7 linked regions of the Canis lupus familiaris genome follow. The protein of the gene in region 1 interacts with the protein of each later gene in a biochemical or structural test. Links are inferred from orthologs where the notes say so. Each region holds a gene or a part of one and is shown on either strand. Other genes may lie near its edges.

What was found.
Region 2: the proteins of CREBBP (region 1) and NKX2-1 form a complex in vitro, tested with the Homo sapiens proteins (2 studies listed by BioGRID, with this or other methods). The link is inferred for Canis lupus familiaris from reciprocal best matches to the Homo sapiens genes CREBBP and NKX2-1.
Region 3: the proteins of CREBBP (region 1) and KHDRBS1 form a complex in vitro, tested with the Homo sapiens proteins (2 studies listed by BioGRID, with this or other methods). The link is inferred for Canis lupus familiaris from reciprocal best matches to the Homo sapiens genes CREBBP and KHDRBS1.
Region 4: the proteins of CREBBP (region 1) and NCOA6 form a complex in vitro, tested with the Homo sapiens proteins (2 studies listed by BioGRID). The link is inferred for Canis lupus familiaris from reciprocal best matches to the Homo sapiens genes CREBBP and NCOA6.
Region 5: the proteins of CREBBP (region 1) and FOXO3 are reported together in a solved structure, tested with the Homo sapiens proteins (2 studies listed by BioGRID, with this or other methods). The link is inferred for Canis lupus familiaris from reciprocal best matches to the Homo sapiens genes CREBBP and FOXO3.
Region 6: the proteins of CREBBP (region 1) and AIRE interact in far-western blotting, tested with the Homo sapiens proteins (2 studies listed by BioGRID). The link is inferred for Canis lupus familiaris from reciprocal best matches to the Homo sapiens genes CREBBP and AIRE.
Region 7: the proteins of CREBBP (region 1) and TDG form a complex in vitro, tested with the Homo sapiens proteins (2 studies listed by BioGRID, with this or other methods). The link is inferred for Canis lupus familiaris from reciprocal best matches to the Homo sapiens genes CREBBP and TDG.

Annotation. Positions count from the first base shown.
Region 1 is NC_049227.1:37,710,934-37,715,170, forward strand, and holds the start of CREBBP (CREB-binding protein), read left to right. Parts: upstream 1-1,437; 5' UTR 1,438-1,517; coding exon 1,518-1,602; intron 1,603-4,237. UniProt on the Homo sapiens protein: Acetylates histones, giving a specific tag for transcriptional activation. Mediates acetylation of histone H3 at 'Lys-18' and 'Lys-27' (H3K18ac and H3K27ac, respectively).
Region 2 is NC_049229.1:15,253,118-15,257,031, forward strand, and holds NKX2-1 (thyroid transcription factor 1), read right to left. Parts: upstream 2,557-3,914; coding exon 2,184-2,556; intron 1,244-2,183; coding exon 501-1,243; downstream 1-500. UniProt on the Homo sapiens protein: Transcription factor that binds and activates the promoter of thyroid specific genes such as thyroglobulin, thyroperoxidase, and thyrotropin receptor. Crucial in the maintenance of the thyroid differentiation phenotype.
Region 3 is NC_049223.1:68,543,617-68,547,789, forward strand, and holds the start of KHDRBS1 (KH domain-containing, RNA-binding, signal transduction-associated protein 1), read right to left. Parts: upstream 2,801-4,173; 5' UTR 2,660-2,800; coding exon 2,278-2,659; intron 1-2,277. UniProt on the Homo sapiens protein: Recruited and tyrosine phosphorylated by several receptor systems, for example the T-cell, leptin and insulin receptors. Once phosphorylated, functions as an adapter protein in signal transduction cascades by binding to SH2 and SH3 domain-containing proteins.
Region 4 is NC_049245.1:24,333,059-24,336,558, forward strand, and holds part of NCOA6 (nuclear receptor coactivator 6), read right to left. Parts: coding exon 658-3,500; intron 1-657. UniProt on the Homo sapiens protein: Nuclear receptor coactivator that directly binds nuclear receptors and stimulates the transcriptional activities in a hormone-dependent fashion. Coactivates expression in an agonist- and AF2-dependent manner.
Region 5 is NC_049233.1:65,900,859-65,905,022, forward strand, and holds the start of FOXO3 (forkhead box protein O3), read left to right. Parts: upstream 1-1,364; 5' UTR 1,365-1,379; coding exon 1,380-1,994; intron 1,995-4,164. UniProt on the Homo sapiens protein: Transcriptional activator that recognizes and binds to the DNA sequence 5'-[AG]TAAA[TC]A-3' and regulates different processes, such as apoptosis and autophagy.
Region 6 is NC_049252.1:38,039,229-38,042,728, forward strand, and holds part of AIRE (autoimmune regulator), read left to right. Parts: intron 1-7; coding exon 8-123; intron 124-209; coding exon 210-309; intron 310-1,867; coding exon 1,868-1,936; intron 1,937-2,856; coding exon 2,857-2,937; 3' UTR 2,938-3,500. UniProt on the Homo sapiens protein: Transcription factor playing an essential role to promote self-tolerance in the thymus by regulating the expression of a wide array of self-antigens that have the commonality of being tissue-restricted in their expression pattern in the periphery, called tissue restricted antigens (TRA).
Region 7 is NC_049236.1:42,804,401-42,807,823, reverse strand, and holds part of TDG (G/T mismatch-specific thymine DNA glycosylase), read right to left. Parts: intron 2,849-3,423; coding exon 2,713-2,848; intron 2,522-2,712; coding exon 2,439-2,521; intron 2,360-2,438; coding exon 2,265-2,359; intron 359-2,264; exon of another isoform or gene 130-358; coding exon 1-129. UniProt on the Homo sapiens protein: DNA glycosylase that plays a key role in active DNA demethylation: specifically recognizes and binds 5-formylcytosine (5fC) and 5-carboxylcytosine (5caC) in the context of CpG sites and mediates their excision through base-excision repair (BER) to install an unmethylated cytosine.

The sequences.
Region 1 (4,237 bases):
GGGAGGTCGCACCCACCACCTCCCGTGCAGGTGAGGCCGTCGCGCAGGCAGCCCCGACGCATCGGGCTGGGGGAACAGGGCATCTTGCGTCCCCCGCACTCCAGTTGGGGGGGGGGGGCTCGAGTCCCGATCCTGCCCCCTCCTGCCTCAGTTTCCCCCTCTGCACACACTCGCGGACGGTCTGCAACCTGCGGGAGCCCCGATGCGTCGCTGGCAACCGGTGAGGGGAGGCGGCCAGGCCCGGTCAACCGGGAGACGGTCGCGGGCAGGGACGCGAGGAACCGGGGACCGGGCAGAGTCGCCCAGCGGGACGGGCGGGCCCGGCCGGCGCCGACTCCACGCCCGGGGGCCCCGCTCGCCGCCAGGCCGCAGCCCTGGCCCTAGCCGCCCAGCGGCCAGCAGAACAAAAGTGGCTGCCGCGCGGGGCGCGGGGCGTCCCACAGGCGCGGCCGCTGCGCCGCCGGGGCAGCCCCGCCGCCCCACGCACGCCGGCCGCGCCTTCGGCCCCTTCCGCCCGAGCGCGCTCGGCTCTTTCCGCCGCGAACGGCGCAGGTGGAGGGGGCGGGGCGGGGGCCGTGCGTGGTGACGCCGCGGGGGGGGTGACGCACCGGCGTGCCCCGCCCCCTCCCCCTCCCCGTTCAGGCTCTGGAAAGAGAAGAAAAAAAACTTTCTTTTTTTTTTAATTGAGGAATCAACAGCCGCCATCTTGTCGCGGACCCGACCGGGGCTTCGAGCGCGATCTACTCGGCCCCCGCCGGTCCCGGGCCCCACAACCGCCCGCGCACCCCCGCTCCGCCCGGCCGGCCCGCTCCGCCCGGCCCTCGGTGCCCGCTCCGGCGGCCCCGCTCGCCTCTCGGCTCGGCCTCCCGGAGCCGCGGCGGCGGCGGCGGCGGCGGCAGGCGGCGGCGGCGGCGGCGGCGGCGGCGGAACGGGGGGTGGGGGGGGCCGCGGCGGCGGCGGCGGCGGCCCCGCTTCGCGCATTGTTTTTCCTCACGGCGGCGGCGGCGGCGGCGGGCCGCGGGCGGGGAGCGGAGCCCGGAGCCCCCCGGTCGTCGGGCCGCGAGCGAATTAATTAAGTGGGGCGCGGGGGGGGGGGGGGAGCGAGGCGGCGGCGCGGCGGCGGCGGCGGCACCATGTTCCCGGGGACTGCCTGAGCCGCCCGGCCGGGCGCCGTCGCTGCCAGCCGGGCCCGGGGGGGCGGCCGGGCCGCCGGGGCGCCCCCGCCGCGGAGTGTCGCGCTCGGGAGGCGGGCAGGGGATGAGGGGGCCGCGGCCGGCGGCGGCGGCGGCGGCGGCCGGGGGCGGGCGGTGAGCGCTGCGGGGCGCTGTTGCTGTGGCTGAGATTTGGCCGCCGCCTCCCCCACCCGGCCTGCGCCCTCCCTCTCCCTCGGCGCTCGCTCGCGGCTCGCGCTCGCTGCTCTCCCCTCGCAGCCGGCCGGGGCCGGCGCCGACCCCCGCCCCGGAGCTCTTGCCGGCCCGGCCGCCCGCGCTCGGGGCTGTTTCCGCGAGCAGGTGAAAATGGCCGAGAACTTGCTGGACGGACCGCCCAACCCCAAACGAGCCAAACTCAGCTCGCCCGGCTTCTCGGCGAATGACAGCACAGGTGAGGAGGGGGGGCCCGGGCGGGGGGCGGGGGCCCAGCCCGCAGGTTAGCGCCGGGGGGACCCGCCCCGAGGCGCCAGCCCGCGCGGCCGCTGCCCGGGGCCCCGCCGGCCCGGGCCGAGGGGGAAGTTTGTGGCCGGACGGCGCCGGGGCCCCGAGCGGGGGGCCAGCCCCGGAGTTGGGGAGCCCTCCGCGCGCGGAAGGCGAGCGGTACCTGCGGGGAGCACAAGGGGAGCGGAGCGCGCCGGGCTTCGTGGCGGTTCCGCGCGCCTCCCTGTGCGGCCGTGCGTCGGCTCACGCGGGGCTGCCTGGAGGGCTGACAGCGGAGGGTGGGCTTCCCGGTGACGGAGGGGAAAAGTGCAGCGAAGCGGGGGTGGGGGTGGGGGGACGACCCAAAGTCTTTTCTGAGCTGGTAGCACGATTCGCAGCGCTGCGATCCGGATCAGGACACACGCTCCACACACACAGCTCGCTCGTAGCAGCAGCCGACCTGGGAGTTGGGACTTTGGAAGTTTCTTGGGATGCGGTCCTTGGGAAGATGCTTTTCGCAGTTTGTCTTGAAAAAACTCTGGTTGTTGGGTCTACCCAAGGCCGTTCCGTTTGCACCAGCCCCAACTCGGTTAGCAAGATGTCATCCAAGTTGCTGTGCTGTGTTTAACTTCAGAGGCATGACCTTAAAAGAAAGTTTAGGTACAGCAGATCCTTTCGGGCTACATCCTCCGGCTTGAGTTGGTGGGGCTTTTACACTGTGGGTGTATTAAAGAAAATTATGTTAAGGAATGTAGGAATCGCAGGTCCCACCCACCACCACCACCCCCTCCAAAAAAAAATTTTTTTTTTTTTTTAGCCAGGTATTAAATGAAGCGTTCTTTCAAACAGCATCCATGAAAACTTTGTGAAGTAATCCCATCAGTTGCCTAAGTATTTTAGTTTCTATTCGTTTAATAACTCTGGGCTCTTCTGAGCTGGTTCACGGTAGCATTATGATCGAGTTGTATTTCCTCTTTCAGACCTCTCCTTTGCAGTAAAAACTTGTGCACCGCTGCGAACAGTTCTGTCTCCAGCGCAGCCTGCATTTCTCCAGTACGGTCTTGGTAGTAGCAGCATCTGAAAATCAGTTTATAATGAATGGGTCCAAATTGAATTATATTGCTGCAGCGATGCCTTCAGATTTGCAGTAGACACAGCTGTTCAGCTTGTGCAAATATTTCTGTGGCCACTGGCATATTTCTACTAATGGTCTAAAAAAATCTGTTTCTCCTGTTGAAACAAAACTACTTGGGTTTTGTGGCTTCGGTTTTAATACAATTTCAAGGATAGTAATGTAGGTGTGAGAGAAAGGATATTTTAAAATATCATGAGATTCTTATCTAGTTTAAATACAATTTGTTAAACGGTGGGGGGGGAGTAAATAAGTCTCATGGGGCAAAAAGTCACTAATACTTTTTTGTAATTGATAGAGTGGAGTGTGATGTTTATTTTGTCAAATCAGCTTGTCTGAAGTAAGAAATGTGGAAACAGCCATGACTTAGATGCCCTTTTACTATAGAACAGATCTCTTTTGCTTCATTAATCTTGCTATGTTTGAGTGAAAAGTCTTTAATCATATGAAACATAGATCATACCAGGCAAGTTCAGCTTTGAAGTTTGTCTTCTGAAACTGGTAACTTTTTGAATGGCTTTGCAGCTTTGCTCTTGTCAAATGAGGCTATTGCAGATTGTGTTTTCTATAGAGGGATAAATTACTAACACAAGACTTAACAGAAAGGGTTTTCCGAATATATACATTCAGCTGTTAACAAGGTGGAGCCTAGAGAATGGCCTTTTTGGGTAGTTCTGTTAATGGATGGTCAGATATTTACTTGATGCGCTGCTAAATCACAACAAATTTTTTCGGAAAGGATTTTTCCCTCTTGGCTACTTTTTCTCCCCTTTCTTTTCCAACGTTGATCCTCCTAAAGCATGAGGGCTCACTCTTTTCCAAATGGGGAACACAAATTTTTAATAGCTCTGATTTAAATAATAAAATTCATGATTATACTTATGTCAAGTCACCTTGGTTACGTTTTCATCACGTCACATTATTGGCCAGAGTCTATCAGTGCGGGGGCCAAGGAAGGATCGTCATCGAGCAAATTAAAGGAGGTACAACCTTGTCTTCTGTAACCAGTAGTCTGAGACAGAGATCCTAAGGATATATATTGAACAAATAAAGGACTCTAGGAATCACATTACGTCCAATCAAAGGAGTGAAGGCATTGGGGTAGGTGGGAAAGTAGGGAGAGACTCAACCTCGTTTAAGTGAGGGGATGTGTTTTTGAGGCTCCTGGAAGAAAAATGGAGCCAGGTGGAGCAAAGCGCGTTTTCTTTTTCCGTGATAATAGAATTTGAAGGGAGTTCTGTACATGGGAAGAGCTGAGAGGTTAGGAGGAGCAGGAGGCAGCCTGGTGGCCTGAGAAACGAGGGATTTGGACTGCTACCATGCAGCACATGTCTGTAGGGACTGGCCTGGGGAGCCATCGTGTCCGTTGCGTGAGTCTAAGGGACTGACATTGGGTGGAGAGAATAGTACTCCTGACATTGGGTAGCTAGCTCACAAGCCAGGGTGCTCCCCGCAGGGCACTTGCAGTCTAGTA
Region 2 (3,914 bases), on another chromosome or scaffold:
TAGAGTCTTTCCTCTCCCCAGCCCCCATCTCCCCTTCAAAAGAAATCCTGGTATTTACAAGCGAGTCCGCCTTGCTGGCACAGTGTACCCAGAGTGAAGTTTGCGAGCTTTAAGAGTCCAGAGCCGTATCCTCGTAGAGCCCTCTCCAAACTGCACCCTGCCTGAGCGAGGGAAACCCATTTCAATCACCTAAAAGACACCCCCAGAAGCTGTTTTTGTTATGTCCTTCTCTGTTTAAAGACTCCTTAAAGAGTTGGATTCACTTGGTTGCTTTTGTTTTCTTTTTAAAAAAAATTCCCACAAATTTTAGAAAAAAAAAAAAAAAAAAAAGACGTCCAGCAGTTTGGCTTTTGTGATTTTTTTTTTCCCCCTTGGTCTAAACGGGACAGATTCTTAAGAAAAGTCGAAGCGCAGGGAGCGGCGAGTGGTGGGTGACGTGTGGCCGGCAGGAGGGAAAGCGATGAGGCAGCGCGCTGGGCCCGGCCCGGCCCGGTGTCCTCTCACCAGGTCCGACCATATAGCAAGGTGGAGCAGGACATGGTGCCATAGTCCGAGCCCGAGGAGTTCAGGTGGGACAGGCTGGAGACCTGGCCCTGGAGCGCCGCGGGGCTGGCGGCGTGGTGCGCCAGGTCCGGAGACTGGCCCGCGCTGCCCGGCTGGTGGCCCGGGTGTGCCCCCAGGCCGGGGCCCCCGCTGCCCACCGAGATAGCCGCGGCGGCCGCCTGGGCAGCCTGCGCCTGCTGCTGCGCCTGCTGCTGCGCGTGGCCTTGAAGGCTGCCGGCCCCCGGCGCGGGGGCGCCCGCCTGGCAGGGTTTGCCGTCTTTCACCAGCACCGGCACGGCCACGCGGCGCGGCGACTGCTGCTGCGCCTGCTGCTGCTGCGGGCACCCGGCGCCCCCGCCGCCGCCGCCGCCGCCGCTGTCCTGCTGCAGTTGCTGCTGCGCCGCCTTGTCCTTGGCTTGGCGCTTCATCTTGTAGCGGTGGTTCTGGAACCAGATTTTGACCTGCGTGGGCGTCAGGTGGATCATGCTGGCCAGGTGCTCCCGCTCCGGCGCCGACAGGTACTTCTGTTGCTTGAAGCGTCGCTCCAGCTCGTACACCTGCGCCTGGGAGAAGAGCACCCGGCGCTTCCGGCGCGGTGCGCTTGGCAGCGGGGCCATGTTCTTGCTCACGTCCCCCAGCGAGCCCAGGCCGCCCATGCCGCTCATGTTCATGCCGCTCGCCGGGCCCATGAAGCGGGAGACTGTAAGCGACAAACGCACAGCGTCGGCGGGGGCCGGGCCGGGCCGGGCCACCTCTGCCTTCCGCGCCCTTGGCCGGCCCGGCCCCCGCCGACGGCGCCCTCCTCACCTGGGCCGCCGCGGCCGGGAGCGGCCTACGCACCGCAGACGGCGCCTGCCCCGGGCCGCGCCGTCGAGGGAGTTACTGGCGGGCTCCCCGCCTGCACCCCGACTGCCTCCCTCCATCTCAGCGCTCCAGCCTGCCGGCCAAGGAGAGGGGCCGCTTCTGATCCTTTCTTGCCCAACCCTGGCCAGAGTCGTTGGGCTAGCGGGCCCCGAGCGGCGAACTGGGCCCAGACCAAGAGCCGGGGTCCCACGGTAGACCCCGACTTTTGGAGTTCGGGAGAGTGGGGTGTTCACTTTCAAAGCCTAGAGCCGCCGACGCTTTGCCTCCTGGCCGCTCTCTCCTGTCAGCCCCAGGGAGGGCACTTGTGCCGCCTACTTGGAGCCCCCTCTGAAGCCGCGCACCCTGGCACCTGCCTAGGCTGCAGAGCCGGCCGGGCGGTCCCCGAGCGTGTCTCAGTGGGGCAGCCTCCCGTCCGGCCAGGCCCGCCTCTCGGCTCCCTGCTAGCCCCCGGCTCCCTTAGGCTTGGGGGGGGCGGGCGGGAGGGCGATCCCCCGGCTCCCCGAGGTCTCCTGCGCGGAGCGGAGCCGAGCTGCCAGTCGGCCGCATGGGGAGACGCGGATACTAGCACCTGCCCGCAAGACCCCAAGAGTCCCGCCTGGGACCCCTCAGGCCAGCAGCGGGGGGAACCCCAGCTCCCGCCCCTGCTCCCTGGCGCGGCTGCCGGGCCGCCCGCCGGGACGCCCAGTGCGCAGCCGGAGGCGCGGCGCCCTCGGGGCTGCTCTCCCGGCGCCTCCCGCCCCCAGCCCGCGGCCCGGCGGTGGGGCGGCCTCACTTACTGGCGGGGAAGCGCGGGTCTGGGTTGGCGCCGTACCATCCGGGGCCCGAGGCGCTGTTCCGCATGGTGTCCTGGTAGGGCGGCAGCTCGCTCATGTTGCCCAGGTTGCCGTTGCAGTAGCCCCCCACGGCGGAGTGCGAGAGCTGGGGCACCCCCGCCGCCGTCATGTGGTAGGCGGCGGTGACGGCGCCGTGGTGCCCCACGGCGTGCTGCTGCATGGCCGCGGCCGGCGGAGCCGCCTGGCCCTGCCTGTACGCCGCCAGCGGAGCCCCGAGGCCGCCGCCCTCCATGCCCACTTTCTTGTAGCTTTCCTCCAGGGGACTCAAGATGTCAGACACTGAGAACGGAGTCGTGTGCTTTGGACTCATCGACATGATTCGGCGGCGGCTGGAGGAGGAAGGAAGAGGAGGAAAAAAAAGGGAGAGGGGGAAGGCGAAGCCTCGCTGCTTTTTTTTTCTCCCTTTGCCAAATATTCTGGTGTTACCTTAACGCCGATCTTGTTGGATGTACACGTAACCGAGTGGACCGAGTCCGCCTTAATTGGCTTGAGTGGAGGCTCGGGGGCTGCCTCGCGTTTGTTTTAGCCCGGCGCCAGGTTTTAGGCAGCCACCAGAGGCGGGGCGTAAGCGCTAAAGCAACAAGACAATAGAAGCCTACATCTTGCCCGAGATAATTAGCTTACATGCTGATGACAAGGTAAACACCTTTAAGTTTCACTTGTCAGGATTTTTAAGTCTCAAAAAGGGAGAGAGAGAGAGAGAGAGAGAGAGAGAGAGAGGCAGAGACGCGACCCAAAGCATTTCTTTTCCCCCTCCCCCGGACACCCCCACCCCATTTTTTGTGGGGTGCGGGCGGCGCGCAGGGGGTGGGGGGAGACGGGGGAGGGAAAGGAGGAGGGAACCCAGGGAGGGGAGGGCAAGAGGTGGGGTGAGGAGTAGCCGAGGAGGAGGGATGGTGGGGAGGAAGGAAGGTGAATGCTGCTTTGCAACCAACTTTCCGAGTTACAAAGTGAACCACTTTCCAGTGCAGCCGGGGATCCCGGGCGGGGACAAGTCTTTAGAGGGAGGGGGCCAAGGGACGGGGTAGGGGTTTCACCTGAGCCTGCCGGGGCTGCTCCTCCCTCCCGCCGCGGCCTCCCAGCCCCGCGCCTTCCCACTGCCTCCGGACCACATCGGGCTTCGAGGCGCCGAGCCCCAGTCGCCACCAAACGAGCTCGCGAGTCTGGGGACGAACCCTGGGGCCGCACTGTTGGTCTGCGGGTCTGTCCGTCTGTCTGCCTCTTCTGCCGCCGTCAGAGGGACACCTCTGCTCCCCGCCCCCTTTCCCCCTACCCGAGAGAGAATCCCAGCGGGCGGAGGGGACGCTGAGCAAGGGATCGGCTGCCTCCGAGAGGCTGTCCCAGATCCCCGCGTCCCCCTCCCCCCACCTCAGGGTCTTCTCAGCGGTCCAGGGCCCCCTGCATCACGCCCCCCCCCCCACCCCACACGCGGTTCCCTTTCCCCACCCCCATTCCCGGCCAAGGCAAGCACGCTACTGGCCTCCAGTGCTGGGAAGCTGGGGTGGGGGCTGGGGGGCACTAACCCAGGGCCATTGCTGAAATTGCCCCACCTCGAACAAACCTGGTGTCCCCGACCCTCGCCCATCGCCCGGACACGCGGGGTTCTGGGGCTGGAGCTGACTTTCCGAGGACATCACAGCCCCAGCACCCGAGCCCAGAGCCACGCTGTTTTCC
Region 3 (4,173 bases), on another chromosome or scaffold:
AAAAAAAGAAAAGAAAATAACTTGATTAAAATTAAAAAAAAAAACAAAACCCAAGTTAAAAAATATTAAATACTCTCTTGTAACAGAATTTAAGCAGTGAGAGAACAGTGAAAATTTTAAGTAACTTTTCTAAAAAAGATTTTTTTTTCAGTAATCTTTACATCCAAGGTGGGCTCCAACTTACATACAACCCCAAGATCAAAAATCACATGCTCTACCGACTGAGCCAGTCAGGCACCCCTGTAAATAACTTTTTAGGATCAACAGTTTTGTTTTTTTTTAAGATTTTACTTATTTATTCATGAGAAACACAGAGAGAGACAGAAACATAGGCAGAAGGAAAAGCAGGCTCCCTGTGGGGAGCCTGATGTGGGACTCCATTGCAGGACCCTGGGATCACAACCTGAGCCAAAGGCAGATGCTCAATCACTGAGCCACCCAGGTGTCCTCAAGGATCAACAGTTTTTGATGGTTATCCTAAAAAATCACCTTTTACTTAAAAGAAAACACTGTACTAGGCACTTGGTGTGGTCAGAAAGGCAAAAAATACCTTGTTTTCATACTTTACTCAGTACCACGGATTTACAACTATTAGAAAACTGTGGTGACAAATTATTATCTTTATTATTATGGCCAAAGGGAATGGCGCCAGTGCTTTTACATGACACTTAATTCTCTCATCATCCCATTTTCCAGATAAGGTTACCGAGGTTCAGAAAACTTCCCAAGAAGTTTAATTAAGGGTCAGAATTTCAAACCCAAGCCAACACCTTTAAGTTCTAAAGTTTGTTATTCTCACTCATTTAACCTGGACTGCTTAAAGATTAAAGGAAATAAAAATTAGACTACCAAGTCAACCTTTAGCATTTAGCTTGACATTCTTAAGTCTGCATGTAGTTGCTTTCAAACACCTGGTGTTTGCTATATTGCAAGACAACATGAAAAATATAAAGATTAAAAAAAACATCCTGGCCTTCAAAACGACTGCCAGAAGAACACAATGAACAGTAATGTTTCAAACAATCTGACTGTGTTACAGAACAGCAAAACACCCAATTGAAAATGTAAGCGATTTATCCAAATGTTCTTATTTTTTTACCACAGCGAGATTTGTTTATTGCTTTAAAAAAACGAAGACCCCTTACCAATGTAAGGAGATAGAGAACAAAGGGGAGGGAAACGAAATATCGATCAGTCCATTATATCAACCTTGCCAAAGAGTCCAACTACTCATTTAGAGTTGAAGGTTGCAACTTTTTACTTGCTTATAAAATTCAGGTCATATAAGAAATAACTTATTAAAACAACGTTTAAACTGTAAGTGGGGGCAAAACAGACGGCTTTAGACTAGGTGATTAGCCAGTTAGGGCAGGAAAGGAGCGTTAGTCTACTGGCACAGAACAAAGACTACTTTTCAGAATCTATTTCACTATTGAAGCAAAAAGAAATAAAACAGGAAGACCAAGCCTTTCAGGTACAAGCATCTTGCAACTTCCCTCAATTTTTGTCCATCTTATTGAGTGAGGAATGTCCTGCAAACCAACCTTTACCTACTCCGATTCCATTTCACTGTCTCTAGGGCTATTCTTACCCTTATGATGAACACCACCTTATAAAATAAAGGGGTCCATAGCAATGATCATTTTATCGGCCCAAGTCGGAAGTCTGGTTCGGAAAGCCTCAAGATCCGATTCCCACAGGTTGCTCCTGCCTCCGAGCAACTTAAGCTCCTGTTACCGCTAAGTCCGACCCGGCCCCAGAGAACGCGGCGCGCTGGACAGGGCACTCCAGCCTCACCCCATTTCACCCCGGCCCTCCCTCCCACGGTCCCTCCCCGCTCCGGCTGTCTTCACCCCCTACACCCTCAGTAGAGGCGTCTACCGCCACCTGCAATGAAGAAGGCTTTCCCTTTGGGGGTAGGGGGAGATAAAAGGTTCGCTTCTGGAAGGATCTGAATACTCAGAGCGCAGGGCAGCTGCAAAAGGTGGGAGGGGGAAGGGTCGGCAAAGGGGCGGGGAGCGCAGCGCTATCCATCAAGACCTTTGCGCTAAGAGATCACCAAGTCCCCTCTGGGCCTCCACTGCAGCCTCAGAATTCTCCCTCGCACCGAGGGCCGGGATGGGAGCGTGGAATCCAGGCTCCCGGGATGAGGAGGAGAGGAGGGGAGTTCACGATGGCCTCGGCCCCGAGGGGGCGGAAGGCAGGCGGAACAAAGCCACTGCTACCCATGCCCCCGGGGGGCCAGACGACCCAGAGGGACCGGGGAGGCCCGCTTACCTGCCGTCAGTAGCTGCATGGCGTGAGTGAAGGACGGGTCGAGCGAGTCCTTCTCGGCCATGAGTTCGGGCAGGTACTTGTTCTCCGGCTCCATCTTGACGGAGGCAGTGGCTGAGGGGGGCAGCAGCGGGGTCGGCGCCGGACCGCCCACCGTCGCGTCGGGGCCCGTGGCCGAGGGCGGCAGCAGCGGTGGTGGCTGCGTGGCGGGCGAGGCCCGGGCGCCCCCCCGGGATCCCCCTCCGCCTCCCCGCGACCGGTGAGGCAGCGGCGGCTGCCGAGACGGCGCCTGACGCACGGAGGGGTGGGCACCCGAGGGGTCCATGGAGCCGCTGCGGCCCGAGGACCGGCTCATGCGCGCGGCGGGGTCGTCCCGGCGCTGCATCGGGGCGGATGTGCGATCGAGGGATCGAGGAAGCGACGCGGCAGCGGCAGAGGCCCGAGCGGCGGTTGGCGGGGGTGGGAGAGCGGGAGCGACAGCGACCGAAGCCGACCCGAGCGACCCAGCGAAAGAGAGCACCGGAAATGAGGCGGCGCGCGTGCGCAGCCAGCCACCGGCACCGCCCTTGGGTCTCTCCGCGGAGAACAAAGTCTCCAGTCGGGCCACGGCGCCTGCGCACCGCCGCGGAGCCCGAAGAAGTCGCCTCCCCGCTCCCCTTTTCCCTCCGAGCCCGCCAGGCCAGAGTCTTGTGCGCGTGCGCGAGTGGCCGCGGGCTTCGTTCGTTTTCTCTTCCACGTGACTCGGCGCTAGCGGGACACGTGTCTCCTCCCCCTCTGGCCGGGTGCGCGAAGGGGCGGGGGCTGTGGAATGTCTTTGTCTGCGCGCGGGCCCGCGGAGTGTGGGGCGGGAGACCTGTTACTCGCGGGGCCACGCCCCCGCCAACGGCTGAGCGGCGGAGGGGGGCTGCGCCCAGTGGGGTTCCGGGTGGGAGTGAAGTGGGGTGGATATGGGGTGGGTAGAGGGGGTCCCTGAAGTGTAGAAAGGAACAGAGTCCGGCGCGGGGGGTCGCTGGAGGGCGGTCTGGGTCGGAAGAGAGGAGAGCGACTGCCTGAACCGGGGGGGGGGGGGGGGGGGGGAGGTACAGGACTCGGGGGAACTAGGAGAGAAGAAGGGACGACTGAAAGAGTCTGCTTCGGGGATGCGAGGTGGAGTTGGGGAAGGGACGCTTGCAGGGAGAAACTGAGGAAGGACGGGCCAGGGACTCGAACGAAGAGGGAAGGTTTAGATTGGAGGCCTGAAGTCTAGCGAGGAAAAGGGCGCCCGATGGGAGCAGGAACCTCAGAAGTCCTATCCCATGATTTCCAATATAGTAGGCTCTAAAAGGTGAGCCATTGTTGGTCTGAGAAGTCGTCTTAAAAGACGAAGACGAAGCATTTTAGCTCCTTATACAGTGCTGCTTTCTGCTGACTTTAGTGTTTTCTTCCGCAAAAAAAGTGAGGAAGAGGTCAGGTCCTTAATCCGTGATGGTTACTTATACCACTAGGATGGCTCCTTCTACTGATGCGAGTGTTAATCCCCCTGCCGCTGTTGGACTCTTCACAATGGATCATTCCAGACTTGCTCAGAAAGAGCATTACCACTGCTCTCCAGGCCAGGGCATATAGTGGACAGTCTCCCACAACAGTCTCCTCATCTTGGGGGTGCTATATGCAAATGAGCCCAGGTCTCTACTTCCAGAATTCTCAGAAACCTGGTGCTTTCCCTAACCTTTCTTTCCCTCCACAGATTTGTGTTTCCCCCATCCAAAGCACTCCCTTTTCCTTTTGGATCAGTTCCCCTAGTAAGCCCATGCTTTTCAAAACCATTTCTGGACATTGTCTTTTGTGTGGCTGGAAACTTAATTGTTGGCTCTGAAACTTAGAAGCCTTCAAACTAGGGAAGATTTAAGGTCTGGCTAC
Region 4 (3,500 bases), on another chromosome or scaffold:
GAGCTGGTAGATGCTGGTGCTGTGATGTTAACTCAAGCCTGCCTGTCTCTCAACCACTTTGTGTCTCTTGTGTCTATTACCATGAGACCTGGGTTTTTGAAAAGCTTTCCTCTGGAGTAGCCAGTCAGAAGGGAATAGTCCCTTCTGATAGAGTACAATGAGAAGGGGCCATGAGAACCCTGCTCTGAAACTGTGGAGAACAAGTCAATATTGCAGTAAGGGGAACTTGCAAAAACAGCTATTCACCTTTAAGGGACAATGTTAAACTGGAGGTTCACAGTATAGACTGTGAAAATACTGAACTCTGAGCTGCAATCTTCTCACCCACAGAATGGGGTTAGGGCTACCTGACGTAGTTGGTATGAAGATGACACGAGATAACATATATAAAGATGCTTTTTTGTAAAATGAAAAACTTTATATAAATGAAAGGCCTATCACTTCAGGAGCTGAGAGAGAACCGTATTAATGAATGTAAACTTAACATAGGCTTTAAAGTTGTATTTCCCAATGTACTTCCAATAAATTAAACTACCACTATTGCTATTTAGCTCACTTTTCCTCCTCCAAGTAGAAAAGAAAAAAAAGGCTTTCTTTTGTGGAATAGGTCATCAAAAAACTGACACGAGGAGATGATGCCAGGCCCCAAGTACATACCTATGCTGGGCAGAAGCTCTGGATGGGATCCCACCTTCTCCTCCACTAGGCCACCCACAAGTGGCTCAGGTGCTATGCCAACATGATTGTTTTTTGTGGCCGGCGCAGCGGAGATGAGCTCAGAGGGTACCAGAGTGGTTACTATCGAGCGTACACTGGTGGGGAGAGTACCGCCAGGTAAGCTGGGTCCTGTTGAGGTGGAGCCTGGGCCCACAGGGCTAGAGGTCATTTTTAGCAGAGTGGGTGCTGGGGGTGTTGGGGTTTTACTGTCCAGCTCTGTGGGTAACTGCTCTGTTCCCATGAGCCCTGGAGTTGTAGTCTCTAGCCCTTGGCCTTCGGTCTCTCCATCTGCACCATATTGCTCTTCCCCTTTCTCAAGAGAGCCTGTAACTTTCTTACATGCCTTGGTCAGCAAAATCTGGCCGATTTTGTCCACTTTTCCTTTGCCCTTACTAGATGAGACTGGGCTTCGCCGGTTGACAGAGGAGCCTGGACTATTGGTCAAAAGGGGAGAAACCATTGTGGTTGACTGTGAAGAGGGCAGAGTGCTCTGATCTGCTGAGGTGCTCACCTGAGGACTAGCCTCATCTGGATTCAATTCTTTCACTTGCTGGACAGGGGGATGAGGAGGGACAACTGGAGAAGTTGTACAAGGAGGGGAAGGAAGCTGAACAGGGGTGGCTCGTGAGTTAAGGACTAAGGGTCGACCAGTCTGTATATTTGGAGCAGTACTACTGGAGGGGACATTAGGCGGTACAGGAGCAGAAGAAAACTTTATGTTCTGAGGTATGTGTAAAGGGCCAACAACTGCAACAGAGGGAGGCATCAAGCCAGAGTTGGTTGTCAGTGGGGCTGCAGGAATTGTACTTGGCTGTGATCCTTTCATAACCTGAATTATTGAGGATGAATTGATAAAGACAGGTGTAATGAACTGAGGCCGGGCATTAGACTGAGCAGCTGACTGTCCCTCAGAAACCATAACCTTGCTACCCACATTGGGCATTGTGACAACTGTTGACATCAGTGCAGACTGCAGGTGAGTTGGCAGAGCTGCTGATGTGTTAGCTGAAGTTGTGATAGGATTGGAAGTTACAAAAACAGTTATCTGATTTGGGGGCAAGGGGGTGGAGATGGAGGAAGAGCTGACAGGTCTTGACATTACTGGAGGGATGCTTGGTGCAACATTAGAACTGACCTCACTCAATTCTGGATGCATAAGGGTTGAACACGGCTCATTAGTGTGAGGTAAATTTAGGGAATTAGAGGGTTCTTTAGAAGACGGATCCTGCAGTGTGGGAATGACAGATGCTTTTTTCAGGTCCTCCCCAGAAACTACTGGGGGTGTTACTTCCAGATCTGTAAGCCCAGGGGGTTTAATGGTCACGTTAGGAGCTCCAGAGTTGTCAAGAAGTTGACTTAATGATGTCGGTGCTTCCCTCATAGCAGGAGACACCAAATTTTTGTTCTCTTCAACACTGGGAAGTTTGTTAGGATCCATAGGTTGCCCATCCTTTTTAGACTGATCTTCAGGGACAACCATTTTAACTTCTTGGGTAGGGACTGTTTTGAGCTCAATGTTTACCTGCTCCTTCCTACCCTGGGAATTCTGGCAATCGCTGTCCTGAGGCACATTCAAGCTCTCCTTGTTATCCTCGAGAACACCCCCCACTGCAGCCACAGGCATGGTAGGATTCTGAGGATTCAGCCCACTGTTGTTAGGAAAGCTCCCAGGTACAGAGGGATTGGCCAAAGGAGTGGGACTGACCAATACGTTTCTTGGCAACTCCACGTTTTGCAACAGGGTTGTGTTTGTCTGAGAGGCCAGAGTAAGTTTAGGGGTTTTTGAATTCTGTCTCCCAGGACTTGGGGTGGTTTTCCTACTGGACCCAGGACTAGACCTGCGACTGTTGCTTGGGCTAGCCCGTTTTGTTGCTCCAGAATTAGACTGCTTTCCAGAATTCACCACCACAGAATCTAATTTGTGAGTTTGTGGGGCAGCAAAATTGGAAGGATTATTCATGGTAAGATTTGAAGGTGCTTGCCCAATGGCCTTTAAAGTTGTTGGGTTCAGGCCCTGCTGATCAAAGCCCCTGTTTAAATTTGGCCTAGGAGGTAAAGGAATATTAATCTGTGGGGGAAAGAGTCCTGCTATGGAGGCATTGAGTCTTTCTGGTGATAGACTGATCTCTGAAGGTTCTGTGCTGGGAGGGCGATTGTTGGGTGTCTGAGGATAGTAGGGCCTGGGGCTGGCTCTGTTTGGTGTTTTAGGCCTAGATGTTTGGGTTGGAGCAGCCACATTTGGAAAATGGTGGCCATGGGAGCTGGGCAAGGAATTTACAGGGGGTTGCTGGGGAGTTGCACCTTGAGTTGCTGAAAGGGGCGATGGTCCGGGTTTTGGCCCTGTCATCATTAACTGATTCTGGGAAACTACTAAATGTGAAGGCATGTTGTTTGGGCCTCCTGAGACAGATGGTACTTCACTGCCACTCGCTTCAGGGAGTGAGGACATCTCTCCCAGTGGTGAGCTAGAAGGATTCTGGGGATTCTCCTGGTATACCATTTTCCTTGAATTGCTTCCCAAAGGAGTATTCAAAGGCATTGGCATTCTTTGTTTATCAGGTGATGGTGGCACGGAAGCAGGTCCTTGTAAACTGACCATGACAGGCACATTGCCACTCTGCTGCATGGGCATTCTCTGGGAGTCTGGGTTCAGGGGGCCTCGTGGGGGGTGGACATTTTGGGAGACTGGAAGCCTAACTGATTTGGGGTCTTGCTGCATCATGAGCATCATCATCATCTGTTGCTGCTGCTGCTGCTGCTGCTGCTGCTGTTGAGACTGTGGC
Region 5 (4,164 bases), on another chromosome or scaffold:
GGGTCCTCGGGCGGGCTGCGGCGGCGGCGGCCGGAGCGCCTCTCGGTGGCCGGGGTTGCGCGCCCCCTCCTCGCCGCGCCCCGGGCCCGCGCGGAGTCGTGCGTCCTCCCCCCTCGTCCCTGAAGGGAAGCAACCGAGGTAGGCGCCGGAGCTGTGCAGCGGGGCGGTCGCCTTCCCGGTGACTCCGGATCTGCTTCCGAGCCGGGCCAGGCGCTTCCCTTTTCCCTCCCCGTGACTCGGTGTGCGCGCCCCCCTTTCCCTCCCGCTGCTGTTTTTAAAGGACTTGAGTGAAGGGGGGAAAACTGTCAAGATGGCAGCAGCGGGAGCAAGGAGGTGATGAACGTGCGGGTCCGGGTTTTCTGGCAGCCCGGGAGACTTGGCGCTTCCTGACCTGTTGGAAGATTTACGTTCCGACTCGCCCCCTCCCCCTGCCCTTTCCCGGGAAGGGGGGTGGGTGGGGGGGTGCGGGGTCCAACGCCCGCCCGCAAACCGAAGCACACAAAACCCCAAAGTGGTCGTTCCCGCTTGGCTCGACCCTTTGCAAACACCCGCCGAGCTGCTTGCCCCCCGCCCCGCCCCGCCCCTACCCCCACCCCCGATCCTCCCCTCCTCGCTTCCCGTCTGGTCTTTTTTTTTTTTTTTTCTTTTCTGGAAGTGACAAGAGCCCGTCCGCGCCCGGACCCACGTTCGTCCTCCTGGCCCCGCGCCGCCCCCCGGAGCCCGGGCCCCTGGCCCCTGGGCGCGGAGAGCGGAGTCCACGGGGGCGCGGGGGCGGCGGGCGCGGGGCGCGGGGCGCGGGGCGGAGCGGAAGGCGCCGCGGGAAGCACCCGCGCGGGGCCCGAGCGAAACATAAACAAACGCACGCCCGCCCCGGCTCCGACCGCGGCTCGGCTGCGCCAGCCCCGGCCGCTGCCCGCTTTAAAGGCGCGGCCCGCGCCCCTCCCCCGCCCCGCCCCTCCCCCTCCTCCCCGCCCCGCCACCTCGCCCGGGAGAGACCTGCCGAGCCGGCGGCCCCGCGCGAGCGCGTCCATTCGCTCCCGGCTCCCCGCGGCCTGGCAGGGGGCGGTGTCTGCTGCGCCAGGTCCGCGGGACGCACGTCTCCAGGTCTGCCTGTCTCCGGGAGGCGGCGGCGGCGGCGGCGGCGGCGGCGGCGGGCGCGGGGTGGCCGAGGGCTGGGCTGCCGCGCGGGTAACCAACTCTCTCCTCCGTGCTTCCCCAGGCGGCGGCAGGAGCGGCAGCGGCTCCCGGGAGCCCGAGCCTCCGCGGCGCCCCCGGGCCTCCCCCGCCGCACCCCGCCCCGGCGCGAGAGCGGAGCGCGAGAGCCCGAGAGCCCGAGAGCCCGAGAGCCCGAGCCGCGGGCGGGCGGGCGGGCGGGGAAGATGGCAGAGGCGCCGGCCTCCCCGGGCCCGCTCTCCCCGCTCGAAGTGGAGCTGGACCCCGAGTTCGAGCCCCAGAGCCGGCCGCGCTCCTGTACGTGGCCCCTGCAGAGGCCGGAGCTGCAGGGGAGCCCGGCCAAGCCCTCGGGGGAGACGGCCGCCGACTCGATGATCCCCGAAGAGGACGACGACGACGACGACGAGGACGGCGGTAGGGCCGGCTCGGCCATGGCGCTCGGCGGCGGCGGGGGCGGCGCGCTGGGCTCCGGGCTGCTCCTCGAAGACGCGGCCCGGCTGCGGGCTCCCGGGGGGCAGGACCCCGGGGCCGCGCCGGGCCCCGCGGCGGGCGCGCCGAGCGGGGGGACCCAGGCGCCGCCGCAGCCTCCGCAGGCGCTGGCCCCGCCGCAGCCGGGGGCGGCCGGGGGCTCGGGGCAGCCGAGGAAGTGCTCGTCGCGGCGCAACGCCTGGGGCAACCTGTCCTACGCCGACCTCATCACTCGCGCCATCGAGAGCTCGCCCGACAAACGGCTCACTCTGTCCCAGATCTACGAGTGGATGGTGCGCTGCGTGCCCTACTTCAAGGATAAGGGCGACAGCAACAGCTCGGCGGGGTGGAAGGTGCGTACCCACCCCGGGCGGGCGGCCGGACCCGCCGGGCCTCCTGCGCAGGGCGACGCGCGCCTGCATCCCGCGGAGCGCGCCCGCGGGCGCCGGGAGAGGGGTTGGCAGCGAGCGCCTCCGCTGTGAGGTTTCGGGGGAACCCGTGCGACCCCCCTCCCCTCCCCTCCCCTCCCCTCCCCTCCCCGGAGGAGGGGAACCTGGGGTCGGCCGCGGAGGGTGGGGCGGGAAAGGAGGCGCCCCCCCACCCCGGGGAGGCCTCGGGCATGGCCAGGTGAGGAGGAGGAGGAGGAGGAGGAGGAGGAGGAGGAGAGGGGGCAAGGGATGCCGGCGAGGGAAGGACCGGCGGACGGCAGAGCCTTTGCTGGATCCCCGGGACGGCACGGAGGAGGTAGGTCTGCGGCCAACTTCGAAGCAGGAATCACCGTCGTGGGGATGCGGGGAAGGCCCCGCGGGTGCAGTGAGAGGACGTGGGGGAGTGCTTGGGGCTCCTCCGGGGAAGGGGATGGATTTGTGCTTTGCAGTGCATGGTCGTCGTCGTTAGAGCTGCATGAGAAAAAAAAAACCCCTTGCGTCGAAGTTTCTGGCTTGTGGGTGTTGGTTCCCGCAGGCACAGCGATCCCATTAAAAAAAGCAGTGGTTGCAAACCTTTTTTTTTTTTTTTTTTTTTTTCCCCTGGCTGCCTTTCTTTTTCTTTCTTTCTTTTGGTTGCCTGTGTGGACACCTTTACTCCTTAGAGATGTTTCTGCAGTAAATCTGTCCCCCCCCCCCCGCCCCCCAACTTGGGATGTTTCGAGTCCCGGAGCGGGCCAGCCCTGCCACCTGAAGGACTGGCCACACCTGCTGCTCCCGCCGAGGCCTGGACTCCGGCGCTGTTTGAGGCCCGGTCCAGGTGTGGAGGGCTGAGGCCTGGAGCTTCACCTAGGCCTTTGGGAGGGAGGTGTGGTGGCGGGGCTGGGTCATAATGGCTTCTGCCTATAAATGAGCCAGAAGAGAGGCTCTCTACTGTTCCTTTTCAGCCTCTCGGGGCACTGGACACGTGGTAGGAGAGAGGTGTGGAAAGGCCTATGATGTAATGACTTCCTGCAGTTGGGCATCCAAACAGATTAACTCCTGTGCCCCTGCTGGGCTGCTGATACCCAGCTGCTTTGCTCTTCCTGGCACCTCATCCTCCTGGCCTCTTTCCCCAAGACGTGAATGTGTCAGTACCAGGCAGAAGGGTGCTTGCAGTTGGAGATACATATGGCTTATCAGTTGCTTCTCTTTGCAAGTTAGCTTTTTTTTTTTTTAATTAATGAGGTAGTTCCTTCCTCATTTTGTCCTTTCCTTACTGTCTTTGGGGAGCCCTGTATCTTCTTGGGTTCCAGTAGGTGTATTCAGTAAGAATAGTTTAATCTTGGTGGAGCACTGGAGAGGAACCTATATGTGAAAAAACTAAAGAATTTTGTGTATTGTCTTCATTTCCTTAAAAAAAAAAAACCCAAAACAAAACCCTTACAAAGTATCTGTTTTTTTTTTTTTTTAATTTCATATTGGCTAGTATTGGAGAGGACTTGCTGAGATACTTTAAAAGCAAAACTGTGCTTTAAAATTATTCCACATATCTGTCCCCTTTCCTTTAACAAATGCTGACATTATGAATCTTACATTTGCTCTAATTTTACAGCTTTGCAAAGGAATGCCAGTTGTGTGATATGAGGGCCATTTACAGAAAGCTTGAGAGTGAATAGCATTTCGAGGAAGTGCTACTGTGATATCTTTTAAAACAGAGTTTCAAAGTGAATAGCAAGGGTTAATCTCAAGGTACAGCATCAGAAAGGGGGGAGTTGCAGGATCTAAGAAAATGGATATAGGGGTTTGGAATATTTTTCAAATTTCTCAGCTTGAAATTAGTCCTGTATATTTTGAGTTTGCTGCAGAGAACTGCTAGTTAAAAGTTAGCTAACTTTTAACTTATAAAGTTAATGTTGGAAGGGTTTTCACTTTCCCTCTGATTTTTAAGTGTATGCGAGTAGTTCATAATCTTGCAAATAACATCTCTTGTTATTGTATTTAGAGTTAAATAACTTTTTTCTTTAACATCTAGGTGAGAAAGTAGTATTATCAAAAGTCGCCTTGAAACGTAACTCAGTTATATTTTCATGTAGCTTGCAGGACTTCCAGTAGAGAT
Region 6 (3,500 bases), on another chromosome or scaffold:
CCCGCAGGGCCCGGCGGCGCGGTGCGGCGTGTGCGGGGACGGCTCCGATGTGCTGCGGTGCACGCACTGCGCCGCCGCCTTCCACTGGCGCTGCCACTTCCCCGGGGGCGCCCCCCGGCCAGGGTGAGTGCGGCGGCGGGGAGGGGGGCACAGGGCCGGCAGGGGTCACCGCGGGCCGCCAGCCCGACCCCCTCCTCCGCTGTGCACAGGGCCCCTCGCTGCCGCTCCTGCTCCGGGGACGCGGGCCCGGCCCCCGGCGACGGGGCGCCCGCCTCGACCCCTGCCCGTGCTGCGCCGGGGCCTGCCAAGGTCAGTGCTGCCCGGGGAGGTGGGGACCCCGGGGGCTGGAGCGGCCGGCACACCTCCAGGGACGCTCCCGTGCCAGCTTCGCGGGGGTGAACATGCCCCGGGCCGTGGGTTGTGTGTGTAAATAGCCGCCTTCGAGATAACGTCTACCTGGAAGGGAGAGCCAGCTACAAGCATTGGTGGCATGAGATGGCAGTGGGATGCACCTGTTCCCTGGTGACCCGGCCCCGCCCTCAGTGCCCCCTCTCCCAGCCCCTGGGGTGCACCTGCCCCTGGAGGGGTGGCGGCGAGAAGGCGCCCAGCAGGGATGAGCAAGCGCGCGTGACGCCCAGTGTGACCCCACCTGGGCTCCTGGTCCTCCAGCAGTGACCGCCCGGGAGCCAGCGGGAGCCCCTGGGGACAGCTGGCTCGCTGCGGTCTTTGTCTGCCTTCCTGCTGAGTGGCAGTCCTCCTGGGGCTCCCTCAGAACTTGGGGGGTGGGAGTCCTGTGTGTCCCTTCAGGAGCCTCCGGGTGGCACCCTCTTCCCCAGGCCTTCCCGACCGGGTCCCTGCCCCCAGAAGAACCTCTGAGGCCCTGGGGGAGGCAAGGAGTCCCACCCCCATCCGTGGCCCATCCTCCTTCCCAGCCACACGGCACCCCCCAGCGCTCTGAGCAGGAACCCGGCTTGGGGGGGGCCAAGGCCCTGCCCATGAGGGGGCTCACCGGCAACCCCAAGGCTTGGCCCGCACCTGCCTGCTGCAGCGTGGAAGCCTCCCATCACCCCGCCCCTCCGCACTGCCCGTGCTCAAGCCCTCTCAGGGGGACCCCTGCTCCCCCACCAGGAGGGGTCCTTCCCTCCAGAAGACGCTTCTTCACGGACACCTGGGCTCTTTGCTCTTAAACGCAGACTCCTTTCTTGTCCTTGAGGTGGAGCGCGCAGTGACCTTGGAGAGGAGCACATGCCAGCCCCTCAGCCCCTCCCGCAGCCCCACTCCCTACGGGAGAATGTGGGTGTGGCCCCATCCCTTCCTGGGTGCCCTGCACACCCCGAGGCTGTGCTCCTCCCTCACTGCCTGGGTGCTGTGGCCTCCCAGGGCCTGTGTTTATGAGCTGAGACTCGGCTCTTTCGTGCCAGTCTCCTGTGGCTCATGCCCTGCTCTGGCCCCCTCCCCAGGGGCGCCGTGGGCCCTGGCAGCCTTTGTGGGGTGGTTGAGTGGCTGGCATCGGACCAGGGACTTCCCTCTCGGGGCCTGTTTCTCCACCCATGACAGGCTCCCTTCGAGCTGGTTCTCTGAGTTGCCCGGCTCTCCCCGGAAGGCTGCGTGTAGCAGGTGGAGGCTGGCGGGCCTGGGGGCCTCGGGCAACCAGCTGCCAGCGGTGCCAGGGCCCTTGCGGGCAGCCCACACTCGCTCATGTGCACCCTGCCTGTGCCCAGCACCCTGGGAGGAGTGCCACCGCACTGCCCTGGCATGAGCGCCTGTGCCCCAGGCCCCTGTGGCCTCTGCAGGGAGTCCTGCTCTGTTTCGGGGTTCCCTAGCAGGGGTGCTGAGATTGGGCTGACCCTCCTCTCCTGGGCTCCAGGCAGGTGACGGCTCCTCTGGGCACGAGCCGGTTCTACACAGAGACGACCTGGAGTCCCTCCTAAACGAGGTAATGCACCTCCAGGCTGGGCCTCCGCCTGCACCTCCTCCTCTACAACCCCCTAAAGGCTCTGGGGGGCTGGGAGGTGCCCCCCCACCCCAGCTGTGCCAAGCACCACAGGCCAGGCTGCTTCAGACGCATGCAGGAGCCCGAGCACACCAAGGGGCCTAGAGGGGCCTAGAGGGGACCCTAGAGGGGATCCGGTTCCGAGGGCCTGGATCCTGGGGGGCTGGGGGGCTGCACAACCTCGGGGCAGGGCGGGCGGGTGCCCCGGACCTCTCACTGCCCTCATCAACCCAGGCTCTTCTCCCTTCGGTGAACAGCTACACTGGCTGGGAAGGAACTGGGGCTTTCAGGGGTTCCATCTCTCTTCGACGGGAGGTCAGACTCCTCCAGCCATCCCCACACCCAGGAGGCTGACACGTGGTGTCCGCGGGCCGTGGGGCCCCTCCCTGTGTGCTGGGCTGGGCACAGGAGGGTCCGAGACAGTGCGGGGATTTTGGGGGGGACCCCAGGTGCTGGGTGAGGGCCCTGGAGCTGTGGCGGGGGCGGCCGCCCAAGACCGTTGGAGAAAGGGGGGGAAGACTCCCCAGCCCCCTCGGGGGTGCAGGCACCCCATCCTGCTGGAATATGGGGCCTCCTCGTGACTCCCCCATCCTGTGGGGTGCCAGGGCCCTGAGCACAGTGAGGGCAGGAGCTGGCCCTGCCTCGCAGCCCTGGGGCGAGGAGGCCGTGCCCTGTGCCCCCGGGATGCTGTGATGGAGCACTGCGTGAGGAGTCCATGTCTTGCGGTGCCTCAGGCCTCAGTTTCCCTACCTCTGAAAAGGAGGGTCAGATGCTTATGACTCCCGCCGGCCCCGGCGGCCAGGGCGTGCCCAGTGTGCCCTGGAGCCTTGGCAGGTGCGAGGCTCCGCTCTGCTGTCTTGCAGCACTCCTTCGACGGCATCCTGCAGTGGGCCATCCAGAGCATGTCCCGGCCGCTGGCCGAGGCGCCCCCCTTCCCCTCCTGAGCCAGGAGGCCGGGGGTCTGCGGGGCAGCGCTAGGGGAGGGGAGGCCCCCCAGATGCCGCCTCAGCCGAGAGAGAGCGGACCCCCTCCTGCCTCGGGATCCACGGATGCCGGTGCGTTCCCGCTCGTGCTCACGGTGACCTGCTGCGGGAGGGGCCGGGGGACACACTCCCCCCCCCACTGGGACCTGGCCAGGTTAGGACCCAGGAAACCTGGAAGGTCCGGGTGGCGTCCACGCTCAGCTCGTCGGCACGGCCCGTGCTCGTGGACACACTAGGCATCGCGTGTCCTCAAATAAAAAGCTCCTCCTGTGGGGTCTCGACATGCTGTCCTGTGGGGTGTGTTTGCTCAGGCGGCTCTGGGCTCCCCCGCATTTCTGGTGCCTGAAGGGTAGGCCGCGCCGGCGGGAAGGGAGCTCGCCGTAACGGGAGGGCCCAGCCTGGGTCCCCCCCTTACACTCAGGCTCCTCCTCCTGGGGACTTGAGCCCCTGAGGCCCTGACCCCCTCCATCCGACCACGCCGTGGGCCACACAGCTTCGTGGGCTCCCCGGCCAGGCGGCACAGC
Region 7 (3,423 bases), on another chromosome or scaffold:
ATCTGTATTTCGTTCAATGCCTTTCAATTGATCTCTTAAGTCTTTCAGCTTAATGTAGTAATGAACTTTGTCCTGGGCCCGAGGAAACTGAGCACATCTTGCACTGGATGATGGCATAACATAGCAGAGCTGGAATCATAAAATTTTACAGTTACATAAATCTTCCAAGTCTACTGAATCCACTCACATAGAGATTAAAAAACTCATACATTTTTTGGTTAAAAATGATGCTCATCACACATTAATATATGCAAATCAATACAAGTAATTGTGTCTGAGCTCAAATTCGTAAAATTTACTTACTACAAAGTCAATAAATAAAAAATGAAGAGGCTTCCCCCTCATGTTCATTTACCAATCATCTTGTCTTTTTAATAGTAAACACATGGTTCACAATTCTAAAGGTGCTAGAAGGCAAAGAGGTATATACACTGAGAATCTTCCCTCCCAGTTCTGTCTCTACCAGTTCTCTTCCCAGGGCAATCACAGTTGCTGGCTCCGGATGTATTCTATGAATATACGACCAAATGTATCTCACATATGTACTCTCCCACACCCTTTTTAAATACACACGAATGGTCACATGCTCTCTATTTCCTGTTCTACATTCCTGCTTTTTGACTCAAAAGCATTATCAGAGAGAATTCTGTCAAATAGCTAAGGAGAAAGACATTTGCATTTATTATTTGGGATAATGGTGACAAACTGTCCTTCATAGAACAGAAAATATATAATACTATATATCACATACATATCAAAGACTGAGGCTGCTCGATTATGGAACTTCTAGTTGCAATTTCTTGCAATTTTTATATTGTCCTCCATAACATTCCATAAAACAAACTTTTTCGTTTGTTTATAAAGCATTTAGAAACTCCTGACTCCTAAAGATATGTAGGTATAAATACTACCAGGTTTTGTAATTACTCATTTTCCCATCCCAAGACATTCTTCAATTAAAATGATGCAGAAATTTGAAAAAAAATTTTGTTTCAAAGCTGAATCACTAACATCATCAGTAACTGCAAATATTTCATAACAAAGAATAAACTAAAACACACAGCACTCCCAAGGTCACTATAGGAGCTAACACTACCTGTCATGATATTATCCAATACTTAGTACTGCACTATTATGGTCACCTACATTCAAGGCGTGTAGCCAAGCCTCATCTGGCTCCTACGGGACAATAAAGCAGTATCTATAGAAGGCAATGAACTCAGCTGCACCAACTTTACCAAAGTAGACAAGTGTAGGCCTCGGTTTTATTATTATTATTATTATTATTTTTTAAAGATTTTATTTATTTATTCATTAGAGAAAGGGGGGCAGCAAAGACACAGGCAGAGGGAGAAGCAGGCTCCATGCAGGGAGCCTGATGTGGTACTCGATCCCGGGACTCCAGGATCACACCCTGGGCCGAAGGCAGGCACTAAAGCGCTGAGCCATCCAGGGATCCCTAGGCCTCGGTTTTAAGAAAGACCACTTACTTTATCAAGCATATATTTACTTAGAAGAAATTTAAAAAGGAGAAGTTCAAATGTATGGAGATGACAGAAACTTTATTCTGAGCTCTCCACAAAACCCTGTCAGCACATGGGCTTCTCCATTATTTAAAATGTTGTCTAGAACACATGGGTCTGTGCATGTATGTTGTTTTTTAAAAAGTTGTAAACAAAACTACATTAAGAAGCAAATTTAAACCTAATGTCTGCAGAAGCTCTGCAGAAATGACAGTTTGAAACCCACTGTTATTCACGACGCCTTTGTGGACACGGCGGCACCAGTAAACAGTACCGGGTGCCAGTCAGGCTAGCTGGATGTCTGTCTGCAACCGAGCTGCATACTATTCATACAGCTCTAGAATGAAATTGGGCTAAGATACACCAGCAGAGGGTAATGAGCAGTTTTACTCATCAGGAGCATGTCTATATTTACATGTTTGTTTCATACTGAAAAAGGACTAACCTACCTGAATTTGCTAATAAAAATATGCCATTAAATTTATTTTCAACTCCTCCCAGTAGTTTAGCCAAATAACATCAGTAAGACATTTTAACCAAAAAAAAAGTTTATTTTTTAAAATAGTTCCTGAATTAATTTGCAACAATTAGTTTCAGTTGACATGTAACTATTACTAAACAAAATACAGTGTTTTTAGAATGGCATGAATTACAATGGATAGGACAAATAAAAAAGGGAAACTAGCTAGAAAAAAAATTCGTATTTAGCTGATTGTTACAAGAATCACTTTAAGTACTTACGGTTTCTGTGTCTGGGATCTTATGGGGTTGAAGTCCAAATTCTAAGTTTTTAACCTTAACTCCAAAAACTTCTTTACTAAAAATTTCATAAATACCTAAAATGAAATACAAACATACTTACATTGCCCATAATGTTAGCAAATAAAAAAGATAAAATTTAAAAGTAAATCTTACATTTTCCATTAAACACTGCTATTCGTGGCTGATATTTCTGTAATTTCTGCACTAGAATACGTCCTCCTTCACGAAATTCTTTACTAAAATTGAATTAAAAAGTAGTCAAAATATAAGTATGGCAATATTAATACGCTAAATTCAGATAGCTTTGAATAAAAGATCTATTCATGTATTTGTTAAGCTCAGCCTCAAATAGGTACATTTAGCATTCTTAGAGTATATGAGGCATCGGCATGATCAGGTTCCAACCTATAAAAATAAATGTAATTACCTGGAAAGATCTTTGCTGCCTGGTGTTGTCCTTTCCACCATATTGGTAAATCCAATACCATACTTTCCTGGTAAAGTGTGATCATCCATATGGTTCAGCTGGACCTCACTCAGGCCTGACATGAACAGACACTTCCCTGTGAAAATGACAGTTCAGTTTATTTCCAGTAAGTCAAAGATTTTTGCCCCATGGATCGACACAGTAGTCTACATTTTACCCTGAAATTACAAGAAAAAAATTTAGGATACTTAAAAAATTACAGATAAATACCATATATCAAGCAATTACTATGTGCTAAGCCCTCTGTGTGGATTATCTCATTTAATGATAATGATCTTCTAAGACATTAATTACCATTTTTATCTCCTTTTCACAGGGCAGATTAATAGCTATCAGAAGTACACTGCTACTCAGCGTAGGAAACTGAAAATCTTTGTTTCCCTTCTAAAAATTTGTGATACTACCCCCTGCCCTCAGAATATCGCAAACAGATAAAAACATACACCAAGAGACCCAGAACATTCAAATGTCCTGATGATGGAAGAAATGAAAAGTTCAAACTGGGATGCCTGGGTGGCTCAGTGTGGATTTGGCTCAGGTCGTGATCCTGGGGTCCTGGGATTGGGCTCCCCACAGGGAGCCTGCTTTTCCCTCTGCCTGGGTCTCTGCCTCTCCCTGTATCTCTCATGAATAAATAAAATCTTAAAAAAA